Linked DNA regions of Ovis aries. The protein of the gene in region 1 binds, or shares a complex with, the protein of each later gene. Links are inferred from orthologs where the notes say so. Each region holds a gene or a part of one and is shown on either strand. Other genes may lie near its edges.

The links.
Region 2: the proteins of BACH1 (region 1) and FBXL17 are in contact, whole or in part, in a cryo-EM structure (PDB 8UAH), measured with the Homo sapiens proteins. The link is inferred for Ovis aries from reciprocal best matches to the Homo sapiens genes BACH1 and FBXL17. Residues at the interface, in NP_001177.1 of Homo sapiens: Val20, Leu21, Ser23, Leu24, Gln27, Val32, Leu33, Asp35, Phe39, His48, Arg49, Ser50, Val51, Ala53, Ala54, Cys55, Ser56, Ser57, His60, Ser61, Arg62, Val64, Asn72, Thr74, Pro76, His116, Asn117; in NP_001156787.2 of Homo sapiens: Asp395, Arg421, Asn447, Gln473, Gln498, Glu499, Met524, Arg548, Cys574, Leu575, Tyr598, Val600, Ser601, Asp623, Trp626, Met651, Arg652, Val676, Gln678, Asp679, Cys680, Arg682, Thr683, Glu685, Gln689, Trp692.
Region 3: the proteins of BACH1 (region 1) and FBXO22 are in contact, whole or in part, in a cryo-EM structure (PDB 8S7D), measured with the Homo sapiens proteins. The link is inferred for Ovis aries from reciprocal best matches to the Homo sapiens genes BACH1 and FBXO22. Residues at the interface, in NP_001177.1 of Homo sapiens: Ser7, Val8, Phe9, Ala10, Tyr11, Glu12, Ser13, Ser14, Val15; in NP_671717.1 of Homo sapiens: Asp366, Gly371, Asn372, Phe373, Ile374, Leu375, Arg376, Lys377, Cys378.

Annotation. Positions count from the first base shown.
Region 1 is NC_056054.1:127,400,337-127,405,844, forward strand, and holds part of BACH1 (transcription regulator protein BACH1), read right to left. Parts: intron 5,405-5,508; 5' UTR 5,345-5,404; coding exon 5,111-5,344; intron 1,561-5,110; coding exon 223-1,560; intron 1-222. UniProt on the Homo sapiens protein: Transcriptional regulator that acts as a repressor or activator, depending on the context. Binds to NF-E2 DNA binding sites. Plays important roles in coordinating transcription activation and repression by MAFK.
Region 2 is NC_056058.1:104,497,131-104,502,638, reverse strand, and holds part of FBXL17 (F-box/LRR-repeat protein 17), read left to right. Parts: intron 1-1,873; coding exon 1,874-2,016; intron 2,017-5,508. UniProt on the Homo sapiens protein: Substrate-recognition component of the SCF(FBXL17) E3 ubiquitin ligase complex, a key component of a quality control pathway required to ensure functional dimerization of BTB domain-containing proteins (dimerization quality control, DQC).
Region 3 is NC_056071.1:28,993,393-28,999,591, forward strand, and holds the start of FBXO22 (F-box only protein 22), read left to right. Parts: upstream 1-2,316; 5' UTR 2,317-2,415; coding exon 2,416-2,561; intron 2,562-2,954; coding exon 2,955-3,093; intron 3,094-6,199. UniProt on the Homo sapiens protein: Substrate-recognition component of the SCF (SKP1-CUL1-F-box protein)-type E3 ubiquitin ligase complex that is implicated in the control of various cellular processes such as cell cycle control, transcriptional regulation, DNA damage repair, and apoptosis.

The DNA.
Region 1 (5,508 bases):
CGGTTAACAGAACAAATACATCCACTTGAAATAAAGGAACACAGCAGTCCTTCCAACTTCATCACCCCCTCCTGGTATGTATCATACGGTGGTATAATTAACTGAGTATGGGTTTCCTCCTCCCTCCCTGAGCCAGATCACATTCCCAACAGGAGCAGACACAGTCAGTCCAGTTAACGGTGGTCAAACAATGACTTGAGCACACACTCCTTTTCCACTCACCTCACACTCTTGTTCTCTGGCTGAACAGGGCTCACTGTCCCCTTCGGTATCTGTCTCCGAGTCATCTCCCAAGCTGATCACACAAGCGTAGGGACAAGGCTCCTGCTGGGGCTCTGAAACGTAGTCATCGGTTCCAATTTCCAGGCTGCTGGAACAGCCCTCAGGACTCAGAGTGCTTATAAAAGGGCAATTGACAGAACTCAAGGTCGTGAAAGTCCTCTGGCCCGGTTCCGGGCTCTCGCTGATCCTGATACCTAACCAGGGACACTCAGACCGCTTCTGGGGGTAGTTCTGCTCTGGGCCGTCTTTGGCCACGGCAGGTGACAACTGCATTTGGCAGGGAGAGTCCGCGCTGCAGATGTCACTCCAGAAGCCCTTCGCGAGGTGTTCCGCCACCTCTCGCTCCACGCTGCTCAGATCACTCGCGGCAAGGCCACTCTCCTTCCTGGGGCCGGAGTCTGATTTCACATCCGGACTCTCACTGAAAGCCTTCTCCTCTCGCACACTGGAACCCGATGAAGGCTTTTCTGTTAACACTGTCGTGTTTTGCATGCCAGCAAAATTCAAGTCACCATACTGGTCGTACGTGTGTAAGAGAGACAGAGAGTAGAGCCCGTGGGAGTCTGCAGAACTGGGGGGGCAGGGAGTCGTTTCTGTTTTTCCGGATGAGCCCTGGGAAGCGGGATCTTTCTTCTTGGCTTCTTCATGTTCCATCACTGACTTTCTTTCTTCACATTTTAAAATCACCTGCAAGTCTGCACAGTCCTGGATTCCTCCTAGACACTCACTTTCCGACGGCTCATGTGGCTGAACAGAAGCAGCCTGAATGTCTTTGACGCTGGACTCCACAGTTCGGACTCTGTCGGTTCCAAACGCTTTCTGGAATTTTCGGTATTTGGGGCATAAAGACGGCAGAGCCAGGGGAGCGTCCTTTTCTAAGCACATGGATTCACATGTTTGGCTGGCACTGTCCTGCAGAGGAGGAGTCACTTTTGCACTGCCTTGATACCTACGCAGTTTACAGTGAGGGGTTTGGACATTTTTGCTGTCCAGAAATTCCTCCACCTCATCAATTTCTAAATCCTTCTGGTCCAAAAGTGAAAACTTAAAATCTGGTTTCTGGCAAGGTGAGGAGAAGCATTTTTTTCTGGGGCATTCCTGCTGGTCTGCAGTGGAGTCCAGAAACTTGTATTTGAGAAACTGAAAGCAGGATTCCTCAATATCAGGTACGCCTAAAAATTCCACACACTTGTACACCTCATCCACATTGTCCTTACTGAGTATCAGTTTAGCAGTGTAGGCAAACTGAATTAAAGGTTCAAATCCTTTAACTGTCACCTGTTAATATACAAAACAAAAACAAACACATCATATGAAAACCTGTCTAGCAGATAAGGACGAGAGAAGCAGCAGGGTGGCAAGATGAAAACCTCTTTGTGATACTTATAAAACAGGGATTTTAATTTGGCGAGAAAAAAATCTTCTCAGAAATGTAAAGCTAAGGGAATCTAGAAAAGCTTGCTTCTCACATCCTGTTCACTGGGACCACACTCTCCACTTTATAGATATCCACTCATGGTGATCCATGGAGTATGATTTACTCATATGAGATAAAGATATAAACATTACCACAACTTTCCACATTAATGGAAAGAAGGCATCTATGGAATAAAGCAACACGGATAAACGTTCAACACACTGTTTCAAGTGCTGGGGTCTGTTGCCATCCTAGGTCCACGTGGTTACCATATTCCAAACAACTCCTCAGCCGTGATAAACTACTACCGTGGAATATTCAAGGCCGGAGAACAAAATAGCTAAAGCAATGAAAGTACTCCTAACCATGTGGACAGTCAATGGCTAACTATCAGTTATCTTCGAGTTTCTAATAAAATTTTTAAAGATTCAGATTTACAAAGTGATCTACGTGAAGACCTAAAACTTGTGCCTAGTACAGTCTCAGCAAAGATTCAAGGACCCTAGCTAATAAAACCTTTAAGCTCAAAATTGTACATTTACACTGAACCTGCCTCTGCAGAGAGAGGGGGAGATGACACCTACTGAGGGCATGGAAAGCTTCATTCTAGGCTCAAAATACAAAAATTAATTTTAGAACACTGAATTCCAATCAGAGTGATCAAGATATAATTTTTCTGTGATTCTCTTAAACATCTGCTAAACTGGGCATACTTAATTAGCTTTTAAATGGCTAAAAAAATAAAGTAAAATAAAAACAGCAATACCAAATACTGGTGAAGATGTGGAGAAACAGGAAAACTCACACACTGCTGGTAGGAACGTAAAATGGTGCAGCTGCTCTGCAAACCAGTTTGGCAGTTTCTTATAAACATGCAACCACCATATGTCCCAGCAACTGCACTCCTATTCTTTTATGCCAGAAAAATGAAAACTCATCTTGCACAAGCGCTCACTGCAGTGTTATCTGTAACAGCCCAAAATTGGAATCAGCCTGATTTCCTTCAATAGGTGTACAGCTAAATAAAAACCAGTATACCCACAGTAAGGAATGCTCAGCATTAGAAAAGAATACACTGCGGATGCCTAAGACTTGGATAAATCTCAGAGAAATTACAGTAAGAGGAAAAAGGCCAATCCCAAAAGGTCACCTACTGTATGACTCCATTTATGTGACATTTTTCAGATGACAAAACTTTAAGAAAGGAGGACAGATTAGTGGTTGCCAGGGATTAGGAATGGAGGGAGGGGGTGAGGGAGTATGGATGGAAACTAGAAAGGAAGTGAGTGGGATTATAAAAGGGCAACACAAGGGATTCTCGGGTAGGTGCTGAAACTGTTCAGTTTCCTTACTATGGCAGTGGACACATGGACCCACCCAGGAAACGAAACTGTATAGAATTTTACAGCATACGCAATTTAGTACAAGTAAAACCAGGAAAGCCTAAGATGGGTGAATTGTACTACTATCAAAATCCTGGTTGTGACATACAATTTTGCAAAACCACCACCATTGGAAGAAACTGAGCCGAGTGCAGCAAAGGGGCTCTCTGCCTTAACAGCTGCATGTGAATTTACAATGATCTCAATAAATGTTTTAATTGAGAATTTTTAAATAAAATAATCAAGAGGCTTTAAAGACAGCTCCACAATGATCTTTTCAATCTGTCATTATGATGAGACACTTCAAATATCTGAAAATTTGTATCTCATATTCAAATTAGAATGAATGAATGTATATATACACACGTGCATGCAGGTATCTTTCCTTCCATATACATGAATCAAATTATTTTCTGCTTGGAAAGTCTTTTCAAGTAATTTGAAACTACAGATCATAAAGAGGATATCTCCATTAGGACATGTGTTGCTACTTGTTAAAGAACAACGGGTGACCAATAGCCGGCCCTTCTTGCCACTGCCTTAGTATTATATTATTTGTTCCAACTTCTGCCACAGAACTGACCACCTGCAGCTACCATTTCATGGATGTATGTCTGCATGGCCAGCAATAAGCTAAACTGTAGACTCACTGTCATCACAGAACAGCCCACACAAACCTGTTGTACATAGACAGGTTCTATATACTTTGTCCAAATTCCTTTCAACAACTTCTAATGTGTGCTGGAGAAGACTCTTGAGAGTCCCCTGGACTGCAAGGAGATCAAACCAGTCAATCATAAAGGAAATCAGTCCTGAATATTCACTGGAAGGACTGAAGCTCCAATACTTTGGCCACCTGATGTGAAAAGCTGACTCAGTTGAAAAGACCCTGATGCTGGCAAAGATTGAGGGCAGGAGGAGAAGGGGATGACAGAGGATGAGATGGTTGGATGGCATCACCAACTCAATGGACATTTGAGTTTAAGCAAACTCTGGGAGACAGTGAAGGGCCTGGAAGCCTGGCCTGCTGCAGTCCCTGAGGTCACAAATTGTCAGATACAACTTAACGGTGAACAAAATGTGTCCCAATGCCACAAGGCTCAGCACTCTTCTAGCTGTCATCACTAATGAAACCAAACAGTTAAAACAGTCAGTGTACCCAGCACTCCCTCCCTAAGAGTCTTCTCTTAGTGGCAGGATGGTAACAAGAACCTAAGTGTCTAGGTGCACGAGCTCCACAATAGGCTTGGGGGGAAAGGTGTGTAAGTACAAGGCTCTATAAATATGACACAAAATCACCTTTCTTCTACCCACACATTGTCTCAATCTCAAGAAAGAAAAAAGGGAGAGAACCCTTCTGGAGTACCTAACAGCCACTTGTAGACAAAATGAGGAGGCTGGAATGCATAATCTTTTAGGTTTTCTCCAAATTCTAAAACATCTGGCTTTAAAAACGAAGAGATCTGGCAACTTGGACTCATAGTTAAAACAATAAAACTGAGCGGCATAGGAAGGCTGTCCCCAGTAACTCCCTTTCAGTCCTGTCCATGAAGGCAGGTCGGTCATAGTCAAATGCAGGCTTGGGAGGACCCTAATCCCTGTCCATCACAGGAAAAGGTCCAAAGGGGGAGTCCCGCCCAGGTGTGCGACCTCTCCGAATGCCCGTATCCACTGGTGAGGCATTTCATTAAAACATAACAGAGGGTCAAGTTATTCAACGGCCCAACATATATTAACTAACATCCAAAGTTATCAGAGACTTCTCTGGCAGTCCAGAGGTTAAGTAAGATTTCACACTTCCACTGCCAGACACAGGGGTTTGATCCCTGGTGGGGGAACTACGATTCCGCCTGCCTTGAGGTGCGGCCAAAATAATAAAGTGAACCAGTTGACACAAAAAATGCTGAAGCAAGTTAAATGTGAGGCTGCAGAAGCACGGGCAAGGATGACCGGCAAGGCGGGGTTTTGCCCTAACGGGATCAACCAGGGGAGACAGTTGGTTGCATGAACGCGGGGCGAGCTCTCCCACCTCTCCGGGCAGCGTGATGCGTGGCTCTGCGCCGGCCACGCCGGCGAGCCGGGCGTGGAAGTAGGCGCTGCAGGCGGCCAGCACGGCGCGGTGCGCGCGGAAGGGCCGGCCCTCCACCAGCACCGTCACGTCGCACAGCTCGTCCTTCCGCCGCTGCTCGTCCAGGCAGCGCAGCACGTGCGCGCCGTGCACCGACGACTCGTAGGCGAACACCGCGTTCTCACCCAGCCACATTCTGCGTCCGGGGCGGCGTCGGGAGGATCCGAGAGAGCATGCTTCTGACGGTTGTCAACCCTGCCGAGACACAGGCTGCGGTCACTCACGGAACGGCTAGGAAGGAAATCTGTCCCGACAGCCCCGGCAGGTACCCATCAACACGTGGCTGCTGTTTAGTCGCT
Region 2 (5,508 bases), on another chromosome or scaffold:
TGGTGTTTTAATTTAGACAAAAAAGAAGGGAAACCAGGGGATTGCCATGCGCTAGTGACTTGAGCACCCAGAACCGGCAGTTGGTAACTGTCCATGTGCCCATCAAGCAGCCTCAGGAAGCTCCGCTGATCATCTAAGTGACCGGCGTCTGCAGAGTGCGGAGCCTTCATGTTCCAGCCCCAAGCCCTGATGGAAAGGCACAGTCCACCCATGTGGGGTCACCTTGCATCTGGCGCTCCTTCTTTCGAGGTCATAATTCGAGCACTTCGTAGTTAAAAGGATTTCTTTCGTGCCTTCTAATTCTTCTGTCATAAGAGAGCCTGAGGATACCATAACCAATGAATTTTATGACACTACCAGAGACAGCAACCGTTTTCTTAGGTCAGGAACACGGATAGGATTAACCTGAGATGCTGCTTATACTATACGAAAAATCACCCTGACAGCGCAGCACACCTTGGGCAGATCGCTCCTGCCCTGTCCCGCCTCCTCGGAAAACTAAAGGCCGGAATAGCATGTGCACAGTTGAGGACATCAGCGAACTGATATCCTGAGGAACTTCTGGGATTTTTTTTTTTCTTCCCTCATATTAATAGCATTTTCACTGGGAAACACTGGGGTCATGACTGTTGTTTTCATAAACTTTAAATATCTGGCACATTAGGAATGCTTTGATACTTGAATACATAGGCATGAGTTTTCTAGTTTAAAAAATTGCTGAGATAATTAGCAAAGAGGTTTTTGCCCTGTGTTTTCCCTGCAAGCTTTAAGAGTTAACATTTATTTACACGAGTACTTCCTCTGCTCTGATCATTCTGGTCAATGGGAAAACATCGTCTGCTTTTCATGTCATAGGAGTCAGCTCATCCTATCTTAGAATGAGGAAATAATTAGCAAACAGTTATCATTCCTTTTCAATATTTGTGGCATCGTGTTCAGAGTTTTCCTCTACACACCAATGCACCGTAAACGTTGTCTGGCTGGAGGTCTTGAAATCTGTTTTGCTGTGCTGCAAACGTAGAGGTGTGTGTGTTTCACTAGAAGCCTGTAGCCAAGAGCCACATTCGCCGACTGGATGCTCTGACGGGGTGACAGGTTATGGAGCCCTGCAGTGATGTGTGGTGTACATCACAGACTGTGGGATAAACCTCTGTGCGTCCGTAGAGGTACAGGGCTGAACAGCCAAGCAGACTAGGGGCAGGGGTAGTGTTTGTGTGACCGGCTTCATCCCCTGTGTCAATAAGAGGAAGACTTCCGATACAGTGCGGACATCCACCATAACAAATGCTAGCGCCAGCTAAATTCAACTGTGTGTATAATGTCCTCTGAATTCCCAGCTGTCTCAAGAAGGACTAATGTGAAAGATGTTATATGCTCTTACATTTTATAGATCATGAACAGATGGGGGGAAAGTGTGCCAATTGGTAAAGAAATTCATATGCAGAATAACACACCTCAAAATGGTGTTTCGAAGGTTTTTCTTTTTTAAAATTATTAAATTTATCTTGGATAAAATTTAATTACTCCTTGGGGGTTTCCTGTAATATTATATGCGTAATTCATTTGAGTTTATGCCCTCTACAGATATGAATGTTTGGAAGTACAGGTAACCTTGTAATGAATAAAACTGATAAAAGGTTGTGTTCCAATAAAAGGGAAATTATGGAATGATTATTCACTTTGTGAAAGGCTCTGTCATAGGGCACACTTTCCTAAAGCATTTTAAATTGGATTACATTTAGGAAACATTCGTTTATACACAACATTTCAGGAACAAATGTAGTGAGGAAATGAGAGAACTACTCATAATAAGATAGAGATCCCTTCCGCTGCTGACGTTTGTGCTTCCTGTCTTCTCTGCCTCCCCTCGCAGCTCTGATAGCCATCGGGCGATACAGCATGACAATAGAGACTGTGGACGTCGGCTGGTGCAAAGAGATCACGGACCAAGGGGCCACCCTGATTGCACAGAGCAGCAAGTCTTTAAGATACTTGGGGCTGATGAGATGTGATAAAGTGAGTTGCCTGTCGACCTTCTTTCCTACGTATCCGTGTCGTTTACAGCTTGATATTAGATTTTTCTTCACTACCTGGGTATATATATGTACACATGCACGTACTTATGTTATTACAGGTATGCATGGGAAGCTGCCTGGTTTTCTAAACTAATCTGAGATGATTTTTGAATATCTCTGTTTAAAAATGAATGTTTGTGCTTATGCAGAAAGAAAACAGCAGTCACACACACACTTAACTTAGATTTTGGCTTCCTGTCCGCAAGTCCACGGACCACGATTAAGTGTGTTTGCGTGGCACACTGCAGTGCGTGTGGCTTAACAGTGAAATTCCACTCAGGTTCCAAGTTTCCTGCAGCAGTAAGTTGGAAGGCCCGCTGCCAGATGATGCTGCCGCAGTCTGAAGTGCTCACTGCTCAGCGTCTTTGTGTTCTGCCCCTCAGGGGGGCAAGAAAGGGCCAGTGAGGCAACATTAGTTGGGAATCCCCACACTGCAGATGCTGCTTTTCACACATGTCGAGAAGCGGTCCCAGAGGCCCCACCGATGGTCAGTGGAGCTGGCCAGAGGCATGAGCCTGAGTTTGAGAAGTCGGGCTGCGTTTAATAAAGATGATCAGAAGCTGCACTGATAACCAGGCATTGGAGACGCACTTTCCCCTTTGTCTCTTTTACGTTTTCCTGGTAACAAATCTAGGAGATGGTCTGTGCTGCGAAGGGGAGAAAACGGAGCTCAGAAGGACCAGACACTGGCCCCATGCCCCCCATCCAGGGTGGCACCCCAGATCTTCAAGCCTATGGCCAGTGCCCAGGGCCCACCGCAGGGACTGTCTCCAGAGAAGGGGGTGCTTCCTTGGAAAAGACCCACCTCAGCTACTCGCTCTGAAAATGTTGGCAGCTTGTAACAATTTATACACGTGTGCTGCTTTTTGTGATTGGTGATTAGGCACAATGTAGCAAAAGAGCCTGAAGCTAAATATATATGCCTCTCAAAGGACATGCAGTTTCTAAATGTAGCAAATTGGGGACAAATAAGAATGGCCCAAATTCTCTGTGCGCTTTGTCAGTTTTGTTAATTGACCTAGTTCTTTTTTCCAGATGTTTTACAATCCCAGCTTATACCAGACCTTTCCAGTTAGTCATGATTAGAGAGACTTTATATACTCAGCCCAGCCTAGAAAGCTGACTGAGTTTATTACTGAGCAACAGCGGAGAGCCCGGGGTGGCAAGTCTCTCTTAAATTTCACCACTAACTAACTTAACACTGCTACTAACCCTGTCACTTCGAAATGATTCCTTTTAAAACAAGTGAGAGTCCATAGCAGGCAGAGTGTTCTAGAAACCCCGAACAGTGACAGCAGAACTCTTCGGCTTCTGCCCGAAGGAATCGCTGCGCACAAACTGCCTGCGCAAGGGCAGGAAGAGGTGAGCATTCACAGCCGGGCCCCTGCGCCCACAGCCATTCACAGCCGGGTCCCTGCGCCCACAGACATTCCCAGCCGGGCCCCTGCACCCACAGACATTCCCAGCCGGGCCCCTGCGCCCACAGCCATTCACAGCCGGGTCCCTGCGCCCACAGCCATTCACAGCCGGGCCCCTGCGCCCACAGCCATTCCCAGCCGGGCCCCTGCGCCCACAGCCATTCACAGCCGGGCCCCTGCGCCCACAGCCATTCCCAGCCGGGCCCCTGCGCCCACAGCCATTCACAGCCGGGTCCCTGCGCCCACAGCCATTCACAGCCGGGTCCCTGCGCCCACAGCCATTCCCAGCCGGGCCCCTGCGCCCACAGCCATTCCCAGCCGGGCCCCTGCGCCCACAGCCATTCACAGCCGGGTCCCTGCGCCCACAGCCATTCACAGCCGGGTCCCTGCACCCACAGACATTCCCAGCCGGGCCCCTGCGCCCACAGCCATTCCCAGCCGGGCCCCTGCGCCCACAGCCATTCCCAGCCGGGCCCCTGCGCCCACAGCCATTCACAGCCGGGTCCCTGCGCCCACAGCCATTCACAGCCGGGTCCCTGCGCCCACAGCCATTCCCAGCCGGGCCCCTGCGCCCACAGCCATTCACAGCCGGGTCCCTGCGCCCACAGCCATTCCCAGCCGGGCCCCTGCGCCCACAGCCATTCCCAGCCGGGCCCCTGCGCCCACAGCCATTCACAGCCGGGCCCCTGCGCCCACAGCCATTCACAGCCGGGTCCCTGCGCCCACAGCCATTCCCAGCCGGGCCCCTGCGCCCACAGCCATTCACAGCCGGGCCCCTGCGCCCACAGCCATTCACAGCCGGGTCCCTGCGCCCACAGCCATTCACAGCTGGGTCCCTGCGCCCACAGCCTCTGGCGGAGGCCACCGTGTTTCTAGTCCAGACTCTAGACCTGTTGAGATCAGCACCCTCTTTGGAGCTGAATTTGGTACTCCAGTTAGTTAAGAAGATCCTTTCAGATGTATTTGCTGACTAGCATTTTGCCAATTTTCAGTAAGTGGAAGGATCCTTTTCTGCATAAATGCAAATTCGTCCAAAGTAGGGCTGTCACAATCCAGCCCACTGTCACCAGCCCAGCCCTGCCAGCCAGCGTCCTCAGGCTTAAGGCAGTTCAGGGCCAAACGCGGGAGGTTCTGTGCGGACGGAAGAAGTTTCCAAACCACACCCAAAGCACACATAGAACCTCGCGCTTAAAAGCCTGCTGGTTGACTAAGTCAGTAAGTGTTAGTCGCTCCGTCGTGCCCAGCTCTTTGCAGCCCCATGGACGGTAGCCCACCAGGCTCCTCTGTCCATGGGATTTCCCAGGTAAGGGTACTGGAGTGGGTTGTCATTTCCTTCTCCAAGGGATCTTCCCGACCCAGGGATCGAAGCCAGGTCTCCTGCACTGCAGGCAGACGCTTTATCGATGGAGCTGCGCCTGCTGGTGGGTTTAGCCGGATGGAAACCCAGCGTGAATGCTCTGTCTTCCGCATGTGTACTATACTGTCCATCTCCAGGTTCCATACTCCAAGGAGTATGTGAGTAGCCAAGAGCCGAAGGTAGCAGTTGAGGACGTGGACTCTGGAGCCAGAGATGAGGCGCAGATCTGGGCTCCGCACTTCGCTGTGCCAGCTCGGACAGGTTGACCTCTTGAGTGCTTCCGTCTCCTCATTCGTAAAACGAGGATAATAACTGTACCCGTCTTGTAGAAATGCTGTATTTACACAAGTGGACATATGTCAAGCCCTTAGAGTAATGCTTGTTATGTATAAAATGCTTAATGTTAATAATTACTCTTTTCATCAACAATATTATATTACCCTGGGTCTTGATTTTTCAGTTTGCAAATGAGAAAAAATTGCATTGTCTGCTATCCCATTTTTGAAAGGAAGTCTTTAGAAAGAGGAAAGACATGAACTGAAAGATGTTGCCATTTCACTTTTCCCTCACTTAAATTTAAGATTTTTATTTCTACATAAATAGATCAATAATTGCATATTAAACACACTCTACGAAGGGAAACTGATGCCTCTGAGGG
Region 3 (6,199 bases), on another chromosome or scaffold:
ACTTTGTAAACCACATCTGAAAAACTTGGCACTTCTGCATTATTGTGTTTAATTTCTTTTCCTTTTTTTTCTTCTTTCCTATTTTGGTTAAGAGGATAGTAGAAAAAGATTTTCTGGCATTCTTGTTCATTCGGTTAATTTGTATACAGTTCCAATTGCCAGTTGCTCAGATAACAAGTGACAAGGCAGAATTCTTTAAAGCATTAAAGTTCCTTAAACCTAAGGCTAAATCTTGAATACATTATTGAATTCTTTAATATCCTGATGGCTAGCAGATTGACAGCTGCACATTTGGCATGCTTTGGTTTTTGGTTTTGGGGGGTTTTTTGGACTTTATTTTTCATTGCAGATTTATTTGGCAATGTACAGTAAATTTTGTAAACTTGCATCAAGTTTATGAATAAAGAACCATTTAAAAAATAACTCTTTCACTTTCCTTTTGTAACAGATACTCTTTGAGTTTCTATAGGCTCTGTTGGGTTTCTGGAATAGGATCATATATGGTGGGATGGGGTGAGGAGAGGCTTAAGGTAGATTGATTTCACAAGAGAAAGCTGGAGAACCCAGAATTGTTGTGTATAGACTTGGCATACTCAGGGTTTCCTCAACCTCTTCCCTTGTGCACACTGATTCTTTAATATAAATTCAAATGCTACTTTCTTCATCGCTTTCCTAATTCCCCAAGGTACAGTATCTGTTCCCTGTTCAGTGTACCCATAGCCTCTTGACACAATTGTCAATTTCTCACATACAAGAAGTACAGAAGTAGGAAAACTCCAGGCGTAGTACCTCTGCTGCTTTGAGACCTTTCTGTGTTGGTTTCATCTTTGGATAGACTTGAATGTGCAGCCACCTTAATCCATCCAGAGGTAGATAATGGCCCTGTGGTCCAGTGTCTCCTTAGGAAGTGAGAAAGTCTTTAGAGGTCCCCCTACCCACCCTCCCACCCCCCAAAAAACACAACTTTTTCTTGGCCTAGAACTAGAGCATTTGTCTACCCCTAAATTAATGGCTGGTCAAAAGAATGAAACTATCATAATTAGTTTGGATCAGTGGTTTTCAAGGTATAATTTGTTGGAGAACTCTGGAGACTCCTGAGACCCTTTTAGGAGGTTTTTAAGGTCAAAACAACACTAAACCATTATTTGATATTTTCACTCTCATTCTCTCACAAGTGTACAGTGGAGTTTTCCAGAGGCTACATGATGTGACAGATGGGATATTGAACAGACTGAATTCAGAAGCAGATCCAGCTGTCTAATACTAACTAATGTCAGTAGTTACAGGTTTATAAGATGTAAAGATGCTACTCTATGCAATAGTGGGGAGTGGGGTGGAGATCTGGTAAGGTTATTTTTTCATGTTACTCTGTGTATGAACTATTTTAAGTGAATTAGTATGATAAATATAGTTACAACCCACATAAAGAAGTTCTTTGGCGTTATCAGTATTTAAGAATGTGAAGCAGTCCTGAAGTCAAAATGTTTGAGACCTGCTTTTTTTAGACTTACCACATTTACCAGCCAAGAGCTGGGCACCAGATCAGGGCCTTGTTAGCAAGGAAGCTACAGGAGGAGTGGGTGTTCCCTGGGGAGACAGCAGTATCTGTTGTGCTTAGATTTTTCTGTCTGTGGTTCTCAACTTGAACTTGCATCAGGGGTAAATTTAAATCACAGTAAAGCTGAAACTCCAACTGCTGGCCCCAGCCCGCATAGTAAGCCTGCGATGGGGATCAAGAACGCGCCAAGGTATTTCCCAGGTGAATCTCATGCTATAGGCAGGGAACTAATGCTGTTTGGGGCGTGGTTTCACAGCAATGGTAGGTACTCTAAGCTGATTTACAGGTTCAGAACTTGAGGTTACACGGTGTTGAATAAAGGAATTTTCATACTTTTAAAAGGATATGCTATCTGTTCAAAAATCAGACTCATGCTGTTGTTAACTGACATTGGGACTGTAAGGACTGATACAACACTCTCTAGTCTGACTCCCAAGAATTCATGAAAGACTTGGAAATGAGGCTACAAGAGCAGTGAGCGGCACAGAATGAGGTGGATCTAGTTTGACTGCGTGAAGCTTCCGGGAAAGTCCCAGAAGAATTACAGGACGCGTGACTCTGTGTGTTCTGTGCTTAGTCGCTCAGTCCTGTCCGACTTTGCTACCCCGAGGGACTGCTAAATCCGCCAATCTCCCCTTCCAAACACCTGCCTGCCATCCAAGGCCAGCGCCGGAAACATATTAGCCTGGAGTCACGTGGGCTTCCCCGCAGCAGTTCCGCCTCCCCGGATCGGCCGGAAGTGGCGCGCGCGCCTGCTCAGTGCGCCGGGGGCCCTGTCTAAGCCGCTCCCTCTGAGCCGCCGTACTGTTTCCCGGTGGGGTTGGTGGGGTTGGTGGGGTTGGTGGGGTTGGTGAGGCATGGAGCGGGTGGGCGGCGGCGGCGGCGATTGCTGCGGCTCCTCCTCCGCAGACCCGCGAAGTACCTTCGTGCTGAGTAACCTAGCGGAGGTGGTGGAGCGTGTCTTCACCTTCCTGCCTGCTAAGGCGTTGCTGCGGGTGGCCGGGTGAGGGCAGGGGCGGCGGGAAGCTGACCTCGGGACTTGCCTCGGGCTTGCCTGGGCTGGCGGGTGGGCGGATACCGTCGGGACCCAGGGCTGACCCCGGCTCCGGACCCCGTGTCCCAGGTGGCGCTCCCATACCCCAGCGCTACCTGCCGTAGTGCTCCCGGGGACCCTTCCCAGAGGAGCCAGTTTCCCCCTACGGTTCTCTCCGCCCCCAGTTCTGCCTCCGAACCGCTGCTACACGCCTCGCCGTCCCGGGGACTCGGGATCCCGTAGCGATCTCCTGCTGTTGAGGTTATGGGTGGTGGCGAGCGGAGGGAGGTCTGTACAGAGAGAGCTGCGGGAGAAAGGGAAGTGAACGTCCGTTCACAGTCCTTTGTGCGTGTGCGTCCCCAGCGTGTGTCGCTTATGGAGGGAGTGTGTGCGCAGAGTGTTGCGGACTCATCGGAATGTGACCTGGATCTCCGCGCTCTCGGCGGATCCCTGCCATCTGGCGCAGCATTGCCTGGTCCGCGTGGTAGCCGAAGAGCTTGAGGCAAGTAAGGGGTGTCGCGTACAGTCCTTTGCAAGTTTGGTGGGTCAGTCGTTGAGATTAAATACTATAAAACAATTCGTATATGGTCTGACTTCCCTGGTGGCTCAAGACGGGAAGTTGACCACCTGCAATGCGGGAGACCTGAGTTTGATCCCTGGGTTGGGAAGATCCCTTGGAGAAGGAAATGGCAACTGCCCACTCCAGTTCTTGCCTCGAGAATCCCATGGATAGACTGGCGGGCCACAGTCCATGGGGTCGCAGAGTTAAGCACAGCTTCCAGTTCAGGCACGCCAGGCCTTCGTGTCCATCACGAACTCCCGGAGTTTATTCAAACTCATGTCCATTGAGTTGGTGATGCTATTCTGTAATTTAGGGAAAATTTGCTCGGGGCATGAAGACTTTATAAACACCAATTTTAATGACTGCATATTGTAAGGATGTGCCATGGTTTCTTTGACCATTCTCCACATACTGGGCATTTTCAATTCAGTTCAGTTGCTCAGTCCTGTCTGACTCTGCAACCCCATGGACTGCAGCATGCCAGGCCTCCCTGTCCATCACCAACTCCCAGAGTTTATTCAAAGTGCCATTGAGTCAGTGATGGTATCTAACCAACTCATCCTCTGCTGCTCCCTTCTTTTGCCTTCAGTCTTTCCCAGCATCAGGATCTTTTCCAGTTAATAGGCTCTGCACATCAGGTGGCCAAAGAGGTGGATATTCAGCTTCAGCATCAGGCCTTCCAATGAATCTTCAGGGTTAATTTCCTTTAGGATCGATTGGTTTGATCTCTGCAGTGCAAGGAATTTGGACTTCTCCAGCACCACAATTCGAAAGCATCAGTTTTTCTGCACTCAGCTTTCTTTATGGTCCAGTCCTCACATCGGTACATGACTACCTGAAAAACCATAGCTTTGACGATACAGATCTTTGTGGGCAAAGTGATGTCTCTACTTTCTAATACGCTGTCTAGGTATAAGTGTACCACATTTATATCCATTTCATCTCTTGGTGAGCACCTAGGTTGTTTCCATCTCTTGGCTATTGTAAATAATGCTGCAGTGCATCAGTTCAGTTCAGTCAGTCACTCAGTCCTATCCCATTCTTTGCGACCTCATGGACTGCAGCATGCCAGGCCTCCCTGTCCATCGCTAACTTCTGGAGTTTACTCAAACTCATGCCCATTCAGTTGGTGATGCCATCCAAACGTCTCATCCTCTGTAGTCCCCTTCTCCCACCTTCAGTCTTTCCCAGCATCAGGGTCTTTTCTAATGAGTCAGTTCTTTGCATCAGGTGGCCAAAGTATTAAGAGTTTTAGCATCAGCATCAGACCTTCCAATGAATGTTCAGGACTGATCTCCTTTAGAATGGACTGGTTGGATCTCCAAGTCCAAGGGACTCTCAAGAGTCTTCTCCAACACCACAGTTCAAAAGCATCAATTTTTCGACACTCAGCTTTCTTTATAGTCCAATTCTCACATCCATACATGACTACGGGAAAAACCAAAGCTTTGACTAGATGGACCTTTGTTGGCAAAGTAATGTCTCTTTTTTCATATGCTGTCTAGGTGGGTCATAACTTTTCTTCCAAGGAGCAAAGGTCTTTTAATTTCATGGCTGCAGTCACCATCTGCAGTGATTTTGGAGCCCAGGAAAATAAAGTCTATTACAATTTCCACTCTTTCCCCATCTATTTGTCATGAAGTGATGGGACCAGATGCCATGATCTTAGTTTTCTGACTGTTGAGCTTTAAGCCAAATTTTTCACTCTCTTCTTTCACTTTCATCAAGGGGCTCTTTATTTCTTTACTTTCTGCCATAAGGGTGGTATCATCTGCATATCTGAGATTATTGATATTTCTCCCGGCAGTCTTGATTTCAGCTTGTGCTTCATCCAGCCCAGTGTTTCTCATAATGTACTCTGCATAGAAGTTAAATAAGCAGGGAGACAATATACAGCCTTGACGTAGTCCTTTCCCTATTTGGAACCAGTCTGTTGTTCGATGTTCAGTTCTAACTGTTGCTTCCTGATCTTCATACAGATTTCTCAAGAGGCAGGTCAGATGGTCTGGTATTCCCATCTCTTAGAATTTTCCAGAGTTTGTTGTGGTCCACACAGTCAAAGGCTTTGGCATAGTCAGTAAAGCAGAAGTAGATATTCTTCTGAAACACTCTTGCTTTTTCCATGATCCAGTGGATGTTGGCAGTTTGATCTCTGGTTCCTCTGCCTTTTCTAGCTTGAACATTTGGTAGTTCACGGTTCACATACTGTTGAAGCCTGGCTTGAAGAATTTTGAGCATTACTTTGCTACCGTGTGAGATGAGTACAATTGTGCGTTAGTTTGAGCATTCTTTGGCATTGCCTGACGTTTTCCAGTCCTGTGGCCACTGCTGAGTTTTCCAAATTTGCTGGCATATTCAGTGTAGCACTTTCACAGCATCATCTTTCAGGATCTGAAATAGCTCAACTGGAATTCCATCACCTCCACTAGCTTTGTTCATAGTGATGCTTCCTAAGGCCCACTTGACTTCACATTCCAGAATGTCTGGCTCTAGGTTGGTGATCACACCATTGTAATTATCTGGGTGGTGAAGATCTTTTTGTACAGTTCTGCTGTGTAGTTTCGCCACCTCTTCTTAATATCTTCTGCTTCTGTTAGGTCCACACCATTTCTACCCTTTACTGTGTCCCATCTTTGTGAGAAATGTTCCCTTGGTATCTCTCATTTTCTTGAAGCAATCTCTAGTCTTTCCCATTCTGTTCTTTTCCTCTATTTCTTTGCATTGATTGCTGAGGAAGGCTTTCTTATCTCTCCTTGCTATTCTTTGGAACTCTGCATTCAGATGGGTATATCTTTCCTTTTCTCCTTTGCCTTTCACTTCTTTTCTATTCACAGCTATTTGTAAGGCCTCCTCAGATGACCATTTTGCCTCTCTGGATTTCTTTTTTGGGGGGATGGTCTTGATCCCTGCCTCCTGTACAGTGTCATGAACCTCCATCCATAGTTCCTCAGACACTCTGTCTATCAGATCTCATCCCTTGAATCTATTTGTCGCTTCCACTGTATAATCATAAGGGATTTGATTTAGGTCATACCTGAATGGTGTA